Linked DNA regions of Arabidopsis thaliana. The protein of the gene in region 3 interacts with the protein of the main gene of each other region in a pairwise test. Each region holds a gene or a part of one and is shown on either strand. Other genes may lie near its edges.

Region 1 (4,256 bases), on a different chromosome or scaffold from region 3:
TTATATTTATAGGTCTAACTTCTTGTACGCCCCAACTTTCATTCCTTACTGATATTTACAATTTAGCAACAACAAAAAAAATAAACACAAACAAATATCGATCAAAGCGTTCTGACTAGATCATGTGGTTTAGATCAAAATTAAAGCACTATCGTAACTAAACATACGTAATTTATTATAGTATTACAATGTGTTCATCTAATTGAATAGATGGCATACTAAGTAAAAAAGATGAATGCAACAATCAATGTATATACATAATTCAATAAATACTTAATTAAAAGATATAAATACAAATATAACACTAGGTCAAAGTTGGCCAATAAGAATAATTCTTTTGTGGCAATCATATAGACTACGGCATGGTCTTATGCTATTGGTGTGAGATTGGAGTTGATTTGTTCGTGCGAAGTTTGCTCTGACTATAATATTCAATGTTGACCACATATTATGTAAGCCCATACGTCATCTAGGTCTTTAAATCAATATCTTATATGACACACTTTTAGATTCCCCATTCGGTCAAATGTTTTATTAATTTAGAAAGTAAGTTTATATTGTTTCAGGTTATGTTTTTGTTTGTTAAATATTGTGCTTTTTCTTCAACCACAAGTTTATATGATTGAAAAATAATTCATCAACATCATGCATGTAATGACAATATTTTTTTTGTTTTTGTGTTTCTGATAAGGCGCAATGACAATATTCAACCCCATAAAAAAATCCCTCAACCATTTTTAAAATGGCACGAATCGTCCAAATTGCTTATAATAGAAATATTAGATTAGAATCCACAGTCAGATCCCACATATTATTATTAAAGAGATTCATCGCATATTCCATTCCAGTTGTTTTATGATGACTTGTGCAGAGTGTATTCCGTAAAACTATATATGTAGCGAATAGAAACAGAGTTTGTCCTTTAATTTTGAATATTCATCCTAATTAACCATGAACTTTTATATATTACATAAAACAATTTAAAAACACACTCAACTGTATTGGATGACATAAGCGACTTTTAATTAGCAAAAATATTATGCTATTTTATTTATGTGATTTATACAGTACGTTGTTTATTAAAATAAAATGATTGTGCAAAACACATATGTATCTATATATATATATATATATATATATATAAAGACATTAAAGTCAAATGATAGAAAATACATTATTTACCTAAATAATTGGTGTTTACATGTTTATATATATTAAAGTGTTTCTTTGATTATATGTTTGTCATTTGCTCATTTACCTAAATAATTAGATATTCATCATGGTCATTTAGGTAAATTAATTTTTTGGTGAGTCATTTAGGTAAATTATTAACCCTTTAATGTTCAGGATGAAAATAATTATTTAAATCCACCACATATATAATAAATAATTAATTTTAACTTAAAATGTTGACCGTAATTAACACAAGACTTGGATCATAATTAATGAATTTTGTATAAGACAGTCGTTTTTTTTTTCGTCTTTTGAGACACGCAATCGATTTTGGGTTAACACAAACCATTAATACAACTACATAGTGGGTCGGTCGATGCAGTCCGTAATGTAACGTTTGTTAAGGAAAATTAAAGAGATGAATACAAAGAATTGTTTTTAAGGAACAAAAAAGTGTGTGTAATGTTTATGACCAAAATATCCTCTAGGTTAGACAAACTCTCTATAATATTGGTCAACAAATACATGCGTGTGCGTCTATATATAACATAGATGCAGAGAATAGACATCTTTGCTGGTTCTTTGGCTTGTACCCAAACCCATCTTTGACTTCAAAAATAAAATAAAAATAATCATAATTGACATCATCGGATAATGCATAGCGGGAAGAGACCTCTATCACCAGAATCAATGGCCGGAAATAGAGAAGAGAAAAAAGAGTTGTGTTGTTGCTCAACTTTGTCGGAATCTGATGTGTCTGATTTTGTCTCTGAACTCACTGGTCAACCCATCCCATCATCCATTGATGATCAATCTTCGTCGCTTACTCTTCAAGGTAATTTCATCAGATCCTTTTTCCAATAATTTTAATTGCTATACTTTATAACTCGAGTGATTGTCTTTTCCATTGGTGATTCTCTTTACACATAGGAATGATTTAATCTTGGATTTTGCAATTGGTAATCCTTTAGTGGCTGCAGCATGGCCTTGATCAAATAGAGATATAATTTCATGTATGGCCACAATGCATTAGTTCAATTTACTATATGATTTTTTTAATGAATGTTCATGGTTAGATTTTCTTGAAAAAACCTGTCGGCTTTATTGGTTGGACAAAATTGATCATATTTGGCTTTCGGACAAATATGATTGGCAAGGCTTGGTTGCAATGGTCGTATTTTGGTTGAGATAACTAGCCAGAGAGAGTTTTAGGATTGTAACATGGGGAAAACGTATTTAAAATGATCAAACTTAATTTATATCCTAATTATATCATTGGTGTGATACATAAGTATATATATAGTTAATTACCAATTACGAGAGAGAGGAATGTATAAATGTAGGTTTGGCCTAATATATAGATTTCATAAGTAGATGTAGAAGAGGGGAATAAAAGTTGATGTAGAATGATCATATCATATGATTCAAACGCCCTTTAATAATCTTTACGAAATGCCTCTACACCGATAGTATACGTTATATTCATAGACATGCACGTCACATTTAAGTCACCATTTTCATGACAAGAGTGAACTTACAATTTTCATCATTTTTCTACAGAAAAAAGTAACTCGAGGCAACGAAACTACAGAGGCGTGAGGCAAAGACCGTGGGGAAAATGGGCGGCTGAGATTCGTGACCCGAACAAGGCAGCTCGTGTGTGGCTTGGGACGTTCGACACTGCAGAAGAAGCCGCCTTAGCGTATGATAAAGCTGCATTTGAGTTTAGAGGTCACAAGGCCAAGCTTAACTTCCCCGAGCATATTCGTGTCAACCCTACTCAACTCTATCCATCGCCCGCTACTTCCCATGATCGCATTATCGTGACACCACCTAGTCCACCTCCACCAATTGCTCCTGACATACTTCTTGATCAATATGGCCACTTTCAATCTCGAAGTAGTGATTCCAGTGCCAACTTGTCCATGAATATGCTGTCTTCTTCGTCTTCATCTTTGAATCATCAAGGGCTAAGACCAAATTTGGAGGATGGTGAAAACGTGAAGAACATTAGTATCCACAAACGACGAAAATAACATGTTAATGGCATAAATATCTCTTCGTCCAAGTTATCAAACGCATTGACCTCCGGCTTTGATCATTTTAGGCGCTTAATCTCTTTACGACTTCATTTTGGTAGTCTTTAAAGAGTCTATGGAGTGGATTTAGCTAGGAATCAGGCCTTATGGATGAAAAATATATAAATTTTGAACATGACTATGCAAGAATGGGATGAAGACTACTTAGCTTGGAAAACGTCCTGATAGGTCATGACGACTATATCCACAGAAGATGACCGACGGAGACAACAACATGCCTCACCTGATCGACCGATCAAATGAGATAATGTGTTGACCGGACCGGTCGGATCAGGTTGGGTCGAGTATATCAGGTAGAAAAAAGCTCGTACATGGTGCTTTATGTCTTTCCACTCCGAAGTAGCTTGCTAGTTTATCCTTTTGTATCACGTACGAAAGAGATAAAAAAAAAAGTTCAAAAACAAATATAGAGGGTATACACATGATGAGGGTGTTCGAGTTTCCAAAACATAAGCTAAATTTTTTTAAATATGTACTTACATTTATATCTGTCTTATTATCCAATGCTCATATATTTTTCAACGCGTTGAATGATGAAATGGTTGGTAAATAAAAATGAAACTAAACTAGGTAACAGTCTGCATATGAAACGATTAAAAAACGATTCAAGTAAAATTATTATAAATAAATTATTATATAGGATACACATATCGACTGCTAGTGTATAAAACAAAACATGTAGTAAAAGTTTTTTTGTTCTATTCAAATTTGCGATTATTTCATATAAGTGTATCTTTCACCAGTTAAATAACTGAATGGAGAAAAAGGTTCAACATTATGAAAAATTATTCATGAAAATTATTATCTGTGAAAATATGTTTTATGTTTTTAAAAATCAAATTCACATCTTGTGTGTTTTATTGAGTAATCAGAACCATTTAACCTGTTTTTTGCAAAAAAAAAAAAAAATCACGTAATTTGATGGACAAATCCACAAAGAATCGCGATCACAAAATTAAAATCAGAACTAATATGCCTCTTAGA
Region 2 (5,583 bases), on a different chromosome or scaffold from region 3:
AGGGGAGCTCGTGGCTAGTTGGACAGGACTGTCTTTCTCAAGAGACAGAATCAAGTGGAGCGCATCAAAGACATCAAAAGAAGAAGAAAGTCCGTGGCGTGCTCTTTATGGCTAATCTTCACAGGTCAGGTCTTTTTCATGGCCCAACACTGCTACAGTCTTTGCTTGGACCTGCAGTAAATTTCCCTATTGTAGTAGTACCCTTTTGTTAAAATTCTTATGCTCAGCAGAACCAAATCCACGTCACTCTGCTTTTTCTAGGATATTTATTTATGAAAGAAACAGTTTCTTTTTTTTTGGGCTGACTTGGTTCAACCAAATCTTAAACTCTCAGAAGCATTTTGATTTAAAGGTACATATATTTGGTCAACTCATGGGAGGATCATAACATAGGAGTGGGATTACTTAATATAATACAAATGATTAGAGTTATGATTGGTGGGAGAGGCATAAAAAAAGAGAGATTAAAATTGGTGTGAAGTCCATAAAAGGCACTCATGAAGTATAGTAATAGAGATAGTTAATGTTATCTTAAGAGAAAATAAGTGAGGTGTCGTCAGCTCTGCTAACTGCTAAGCCGGTTGTTTAATAATAGGATATTGATGAAGAAGAAGGAATACGATGTTTTGTACCAAAGTTTTTCGGATCGTCCGAGAATCTTATCCTACTGACATTTCAGCATCATATGTTATTTTTTTTGTTTGTTGTTTTTATATATCTTGTTCGATCTTTTTAGTGCGTCTTATCGTCGCCTTTTCGCTTTCATTATCATTTGATTAGATGACTACTATTCACTTATTTGCCAGGCAGATTTGTTAATATTTTAACCAATTAGGGTCTTTGATCATTCGTCTTTGATTGGATACATACGAGTCTGGATAAAGAGCAATTCATTTTGATGTTTTCTTAATTGAGAACGAAACACAATATTAACTCACCATTAACTAATACTATATTATATGAGTTTAAAAATTAACACTTGCTCAATTTCAAAAACAATAGTTTTCTGATTAACAATGCATCATTTCAATTCGACTTCTCATCTTGTAATTATAAACTTTGAACTGAAGTTATGATCAATTATTTAGTGGTACTAAATCGTATATTCAATAGGAACTTAAATTGTAAACATGTGAAAACAGTCAGACACTTAAAAAAATGGAGGTGGGGTTTCATCCAAGACTTAACCATCATTCTTTCATATTTGGTCTATCATGTTTTGCTTTTTTATATTACTCAATTTAATAAATCGATATCGAGTACCCAAGAAATCGAAATAAAGAAATGGGTTTAAGTAAACCGGTGAACAATATTAATATGAGGAAAGAAAAAGGACAAAAGAGAGATCTATCATATTGATTTCATTATTTTTCAGCGACTTTATGATTATTATTTTTATGAAGAATATTGGGGCAAAGGCTAGTAGTACGTAGACGTAGTGTGAAATATCTTTCTGGTCTGAAAGAGTTATACAGACGTATCTAACTTGGCAGATATTTTTTGGTTTTCATTCAGTTCTCTCTCCCCTCAATGATAAATATCATTAATTTATTTTATTTGTTCTACCAAAAGAAGATATTTTTGTTATATACGCCCACCGAAAAATGAAGAAGAAGAAGATATTTTTGGCTTTTGTAAGGTCAAAGCAAACAGATTTATCAATTATTATTATTATTATCTGAGACTGAGAGAGAGAGAGAGAGGGAGATTTTCTGAATTCTGATTCGTCGAAAAGCATCAAAAAAGTGAACGCTTGAGAATCCATTATGGCACAAACTAGCCACTTGGTAACTTCCACGTCGCGAGTAGATTATCTTCAATACTCGCATGCGCGTGAGTAAAAAACATACAACCTTTTTTTCTTTTCTTTCTAATAGTAATATCTTTAAGAAATATCCATAAAAATTTTATTGCTTTCACTATAAATACGAGAGGGACCCACAATACCCTACACGAACTTTTTTGCACTTTTTCGTCTTTTTAATTAATAAAAAAAAGAAAGAGAAGGAAGGAAATTAGGCACTTTTGATAAATCAGATTATGTCAGAAGCGCCTACATGTCCCTTTGCGGACACACCCACCCATTGTCTATCCATTCATTTTTTTTTTTCATTTCTTCCTCCAGAGAGAGAGAGAGAAGCCACAACAAGAAGAAGAAGAAGAAGAAGAAGAAGAAGAAGTTCTGGAATAGTCATCATCTTCTCTGTTTCTAGGCTTTGTTTATTTGTCTCTAAAGTTTCTGGATTCAACTTCTGAAGAAGATAGTAGTAGTCCACAAGAAGGATCTTCTTTACGTGAGTTGTTTGTTTCTCTTCTCCCTCTGTCTTTTCTTTTCTGATTTTAATAATCCCAAGTGTGTTCTTATTTTCTTGCTATCTGTTGTATAATTGGTGTTAGTGATTGATTATTCATTGTATATCGATGAAGGGTTGGTTTTGATTTTTGTTGAATTGGATCTTTTGATTTGGGGTTTTAAAACTTGTTCGGATGATGATGATTGGGATTGATCCAAAAGTTTTCGTTATTTATTGGAAATTCAGATTTTTTCGATTCAGTTCCATTTGAACTAGTAAGTCAAACAAAATCTCTAGATTTACTGATCTGGGGTTTATACTTTGAAGCTTGAGTTGTTGTTGTTTTATTAATTTATTTCGATTTTCAGTAATATCCATTTGTAGGTTTTGGTCTCTGACTCTTGTTTATAATAAAAGCTCTGTATTGAGTAAAATCTCATGAAAGTAGGTTTCCTTTCCCTTTTTTATCCTTCTCCTTTGGTTATTAATCTCCTACAACCTTTTTTTAGAAATTACTACCTATATTCAGAAAGATTCCATCTATTTCTTCTTCAAGGCTTGCTTTTTTGAACCAAAAGTCTCTCTCTTTTTCATCTAATAATTTGTTTACTTTTTTGGACAGCAGAAAGTTGATTTGGTCAGAGCCAAGGAAGATGGGTTACATGTGTGACTTCTGTGGTGAACAAAGATCTATGGTGTACTGTCGATCCGATGCAGCTTGTTTGTGTCTCTCCTGTGACCGGAGTGTTCATTCCGCTAATGCATTGTCCAAACGACATTCTCGGACACTTGTCTGCGAGAGATGCAATGCTCAGCCTGCTACTGTCAGGTGTGTTGAAGAAAGGGTTTCACTCTGTCAAAACTGTGACTGGTCTGGCCACAACAACAGCAACAACAACAATTCTTCGTCTTCTTCTACTTCGCCGCAGCAGCATAAGAGGCAAACCATAAGTTGCTATTCGGGTTGCCCTTCCAGCTCAGAACTCGCTTCCATTTGGTCTTTCTGTTTGGACTTAGCTGGACAATCTATTTGTGAACAAGAACTGGGTATGATGAATATAGACGATGATGGTCCTACCGACAAGAAAACTTGTAATGAGGATAAGAAAGATGTCTTGGTTGGATCCTCTTCAATTCCTGAAACCAGTTCTGTACCACAAGGAAAATCATCTTCTGCTAAGGTAACTTTTTTTCTCAATATGTTATTACTTTTGCATCCATGGATATACATATCTATCATTTCTTTACTAAATTCAGAGTTGTTGTTTGTTTTGGTTTAAAGGATGTTGGAATGTGTGAAGATGACTTCTACGGGAACCTTGGTATGGATGAAGTTGACATGGCACTTGAGAACTATGAAGAACTCTTTGGTACCGCCTTTAACCCCTCTGAAGAGCTATTCGGGCATGGTGGAATCGATAGCCTTTTCCATAAGCACCAAACAGCTCCAGAGGTTTTTATCCATTACCCTTTCTTCTTAGATTTATCAAATTGGATGCATCTCTGTGTGATTCTAATAATGCTCTCTTGTTTTTGCTCAATCCAGGGAGGGAATTCGGTGCAGCCAGCAGGCAGTAATGATTCGTTCATGAGTTCGAAAACTGAGCCAATAATTTGCTTCGCATCGAAGCCAGCACATTCGAACATATCCTTCTCTGGAGTCACTGGAGAAAGTAGTGCTGGAGATTTCCAAGAATGTGGTGCATCATCTTCCATACAGCTCTCGGGGGAGCCACCATGGTATCCTCCAACATTACAGGATAACAATGCCTGCTCACATTCAGTAACCCGTAATAACGCAGTTATGCGTTACAAGGAGAAGAAGAAGGCTCGCAAGTAAGTAGTAGTCTGAAACTGCAAATACATGAGCATCATTGAAGTGAGTGCAGGATTTTCCTAATGTGACTCTGGCTTCTTTTTTCTGGAAACAGGTTTGATAAGAGAGTGAGGTATGCTTCCCGCAAAGCAAGAGCTGATGTGAGACGGCGTGTAAAGGGGCGATTTGTCAAAGCTGGTGAAGCTTATGATTACGACCCTCTCACCCCAACCAGAAGTTATTGAAGACTCCTTTTGAAAGGTACATAGATATATATACATGGCGAAGAATCGAACAAGAAAGGTTTTGACTTATGGGCAGTTTCAAGTGAGCAACTTGGAAAATTGTGGGTTAGTAACAAAACAAGACTACTGTAGCATGAACAGATTTCAAGACTGACTCTTGTAAGCAATCATTCATTCTTGGGATTCAATCGTTTTTTTTGGCCTCAGAAGCTTCATTCTTGACCAGAGGGATTATTCTCTGACTTTCCTTGTCCAAACTCCGGTTTCTTCTTCTTCTTCTTCAGGCGTCTCACACTGATCAGGGTTCCATGAATTTTGTTCTTCTCTTGGTAGTTAAAAAGGCAGGGAAGGAGATTTAGAGTAATTTAAACAATATGTGATTGTTGTATATGCCTTTGTATTTGTTTGTATACTCATAAATGTTTTTCTGTTTTGTACTCGGCATTCTTGTAAATTAAAGACATTATCCACATTCTTCTATAGACAAAGAAAGTTATGTGGTACCACTTAACCTAAGTCTCGTTCTGTAACAACCGACTAGTACTAGTTCAAGTTTAACGAGATTTTGGTTTGTAGTAACTTCAAGAGGTTGATCCAACAATGAGGCAATGCAAAACATCTGAACTTTATTATTTAAATGTCAGATTATAAAGGGGAGTCCATTTATGTGAGTTTAGGCGCTTTATCGCTGTTTACTTAAACTTAGCTTCTACTATGTCAATTTTGAACACTTATCAAAAGTGATTGAGATGCAAAACAGTAGTTTTCAAGATGACATATGGACCAAAAGTTTTTAACATTTATATTTGGAGTATTTCGGATTTTACAACTTAATGTGAATTTTCTTGAAGACTCATATTCACAAGCCTTAATTTTCGAATTGAGGAATAAACATTCAGAGAAAGTTGATTCGCGAGCAAGAAATTTGTCCAATTTGATTGCTGACTCGGATTTGAAAACATTGACCAAAGGCTAAGAAAAGAAGGAAGAGAGGAAGAGTCTTCAGATACAGACTCAGGTAGCAAAGTTCTTGTCTTAGCTCAGAAACTTAAAAAGAGAGCTAAAAAAGACCTCTTAAAAGCTAAGAAAGAAAAAAATTTGCTAAATCAAAAGAAAAAAAAAAAGATATAGAAAACACCAAAACACTGGTTTCATACAATACCTTTCCCTACCCTTATGATCATTCTCTCTGTAAATCTCCTTCATGCTTAAGCCTTCAACTTCATAG
Region 3 (3,008 bases):
AATAGTTGCGGTGGTTAGGACGGACAAATCCTTTTACGATTTAAACCGTTTTTTGTTTACCATTCATAAGCTATAATCCGTAGTAGTATGGATTGAGAAAATAGAACAAGTCTGCATCGGACTAACTATGTACTGCTTTTACATATAAAAAAACTTGGTCTGTGGTTGTTTGTTGTCTGCTTCAAAAATAAAGTGATATGTTTCGTTAGCGGTTTAGTTCACTTTTTTCATTGCATTCATTCAAAACCTAAAACATAAACTGTGAAACGCATAAAGTTTTTATTCGTGAAATTTTTTGGTCATTCTGATGATAAATTTGGTCGAATCATCATTAAATATATCATTTAAACGTCATTAAATTAACGATGAATTAACTAAGTGTTTACCAACTAATTATCAACGATAATTTTATCAGTATATCATAAATTTGTTATGTATACGTTACCATTTCGAGTTTAAATGGTGATAATAGTCGAGATGGACATATTCATCAACGGTTTAGTATGTTCTATTTTTACTGCAGACAATAAACTGTCGCGTCGCAGACCAACTCTATTTGTATGTTAAAGCGGTTCGTAGCTAGTTCACAACAAACTTTTTAAGAAAAAAATCTCTGCTTACAATACACAATTTATAAATAGTAAATAAAAATTCAGCTCAGTCTACAAAGAGATTTGACGGCATTAACCGCTGCAACCATTAGGGGATATTCAACTTTGACAGTTTCGGAGGATGTACGTCTCCTAGAAAATAAGAAATTAATTATTTTAATCGTTAAAAGAAATTACTTTAATCATGAACCATGCAAGTGAAGTTCCTTTTTTTTTCCTTTTGCGAGCAAACTCGTAATAAAATATAAAGTTAAAATAGTTAACCACCACACACACAATGACACGAAGACACCCAATAACGTAGAGACTGTCCCGACCCGATATTCAATATATTTCTGAATGCTCACATAGTCACATAATCTTTAATAATTGTAATCAGTGGGACATTGATTCTCTAACCACTTCTTCGGCGATGAATTTTTCTAGACTAAACGAGTAACTAGTTAATAGTAAAATTTAGAGTAATTGGCTGCACTGCACCCATGGCCATCATGAGTCACCTAAATTACATTAAATTGAATGTATCTCTCTTTCTTCATCTTCTTCAACGCTTCATTCCACACTCGTAGATTTTCTTGACTCTTGTATCAATTCAGATTAAGAAAAAGGTACATTTCTTTGGTAGATGTTATGACTGCTCATAAATTTATAAAAACGAACAGAAATAGTTTTAAAAAAAAAAGAAATATTATAATCTAAGTGAAAACATGATTGAAAACAAATGATAGTATGTTACACAATTTCTCGTTCATATATTATCTTTTTAAAACAAACCAAAAACTTGCACAGTAGTTTAATGAATAATCACTAATAAATTCATATACTATTATTATATACTCCCTTTTTATAGACCACAAAAATGCTATGATTCATGATTCATTCTAGAACGTGATTGTGATATGTGACAATGAGCGAGTCATACTAGTCAACTACTCGAAACTTGTGTATCAAACATGAGGACGAGAGATCGTCTGGTGGAGGGAAAATAACTAAATTATTGACAATTTGGTCCTCTAGGGACACTCACATCAAACCAATAGGTCAATATTTTTCCACGTGTACAACCAGTTTAATGACAATTTCATAATATCCATTTGCTTTAAATAACAATCATTCCTATATAAACCTAAATCTTGAACACAAGAGAGACAAAGAAAGAGTAAAGATGTGTAGAGGGTTTGAGAAAGAAGAAGAGAGAAGAAGCGACAATGGAGGATGCCAAAGACTATGCACGGAGAGTCACAAAGCTCCGGTAAGCTGTGAGCTTTGCGGCGAGAACGCCACCGTGTATTGTGAGGCAGACGCAGCTTTCCTTTGTAGGAAATGCGATCGATGGGTCCATTCTGCTAATTTTCTAGCTCGGAGACATCTCCGGCGCGTGATCTGCACGACCTGTCGGAAGCTAACTCGTCGATGTCTTGTCGGTGATAATTTTAATGTTGTTTTACCGGAGATAAGGATGATAGCAAGGATTGAAGAACATAGTAGTGATCACAAAATTCCCTTTGTGTTTCTCTGATTTTATGTTTTGTTTTTCGCGTAATTAAGATTAAATATTGGTAGGGTTTTTTCTCTGGAAATGTTCTAAGAATGTATATTTTCATTCTAAAGCTTAAAAGTAATATATGAACACCTAGAAAACATATTGATTTAATAGTAAAATAATGCGGTCCCAATAGTAAGCTATAAGAAATCAAGAACAAATCTTCCTATGGCAAACATAATCTGCCTTTATTCTTTGGCTTTATTTTTCTTAACTAGGAAAACAATACAACGTTACAAATTACAATCAAGTGAAATGGAAGGTGGAGAGTGGTCCAAAACACAAAGAAGATATATTTTTCTATGATTAACATGTAATTGAGATTAAGGAGCTATAAGTAGGAAAGAGTCAACGACTCTTGTTTTGTTTTTTGGTTTCTGATTTTGTCTGATCGTCTCGTAGCTGTATGCCTAATTAATGCCTGTATGACCGGTAGGTTTTGTGGTTGCATCAAAAAACAGTGGAAATTCTCTAGTAAAAAGAGCAACTTTCAGTTTTTTTTTTTTTTAATCTCCATTTTGGAATCACCTTTGCGATGATTTTAAGTCTTTGTAGTTTGATCTTGTATACTTTCTCAAGAAGAGAATTTTATGTTTTTTTTTTGTTACTTCTCCGACAAGAAACTGTTAATCCCGTGGATGGAGTCAGATTATTCTTTAGTTCCGCAGTGAAGATTCACTAGTTCACATCACCAGTGACGGATCATACTCAAAAGTTTCTCCAGATTTTACAAATCTCCCTTTGACCCGTTTTCTCGTATCAGCTCTGGCTTTGCGTGATGCATATCTTATTTGCTTCCCAAACCTAGAAGAAATTGGTACCACAAATATCAATGAGATTATGTTTTAAAAGCA

Evidence for each region.
Region 1: the proteins of BBX30 (region 3) and AT2G33710 interact in binary tests that used the Arabidopsis thaliana proteins (3 or more experiments, as listed by UniProt).
Region 2: the proteins of BBX30 (region 3) and COL9 interact in binary tests that used the Arabidopsis thaliana proteins (3 or more experiments, as listed by UniProt).

The regions. Positions count from the first base shown.
Region 1 is NC_003071.7:14,258,224-14,262,479, reverse strand, and holds AT2G33710 (Integrase-type DNA-binding superfamily protein), read left to right. Parts: upstream 1-1,740; 5' UTR 1,741-1,827; coding exon 1,828-2,008; intron 2,009-2,733; coding exon 2,734-3,173; coding exon of another isoform or gene 3,174-3,209; exon of another isoform or gene 3,210-3,440; coding exon 3,441-3,515; 3' UTR 3,516-3,671; downstream 3,672-4,256.
Region 2 is NC_003074.8:2,439,547-2,445,129, forward strand, and holds COL9 (CONSTANS-like 9), read left to right. Parts: upstream 1-2,022; 5' UTR 2,023-2,294; intron 2,295-2,916; exon of another isoform or gene 2,917-2,919; 5' UTR 2,920-2,947; coding exon 2,948-3,475; intron 3,476-3,576; coding exon 3,577-3,747; intron 3,748-3,840; coding exon 3,841-4,130; intron 4,131-4,225; coding exon 4,226-4,355; 3' UTR 4,356-4,986; downstream 4,987-5,583. Other genes in the region: AT3G07640 (period circadian protein), read left to right, coding at 1-115.
Region 3 is NC_003075.7:8,707,105-8,710,112, forward strand, and holds BBX30 (B-box type zinc finger family protein), read left to right. Parts: upstream 1-1,736; 5' UTR 1,737-1,776; coding exon 1,777-2,130; 3' UTR 2,131-2,378; downstream 2,379-3,008. Other genes in the region: BBX9 (B-box type zinc finger protein with CCT domain-containing protein), read right to left, coding at 2,838-2,958. UniProt on the Arabidopsis thaliana protein: Developmental regulator acting by forming heterodimeric complexes, that sequester CO and CO-like (COL) proteins into non-functional complexes. Engages CO and the transcriptional repressor TPL in a tripartite complex.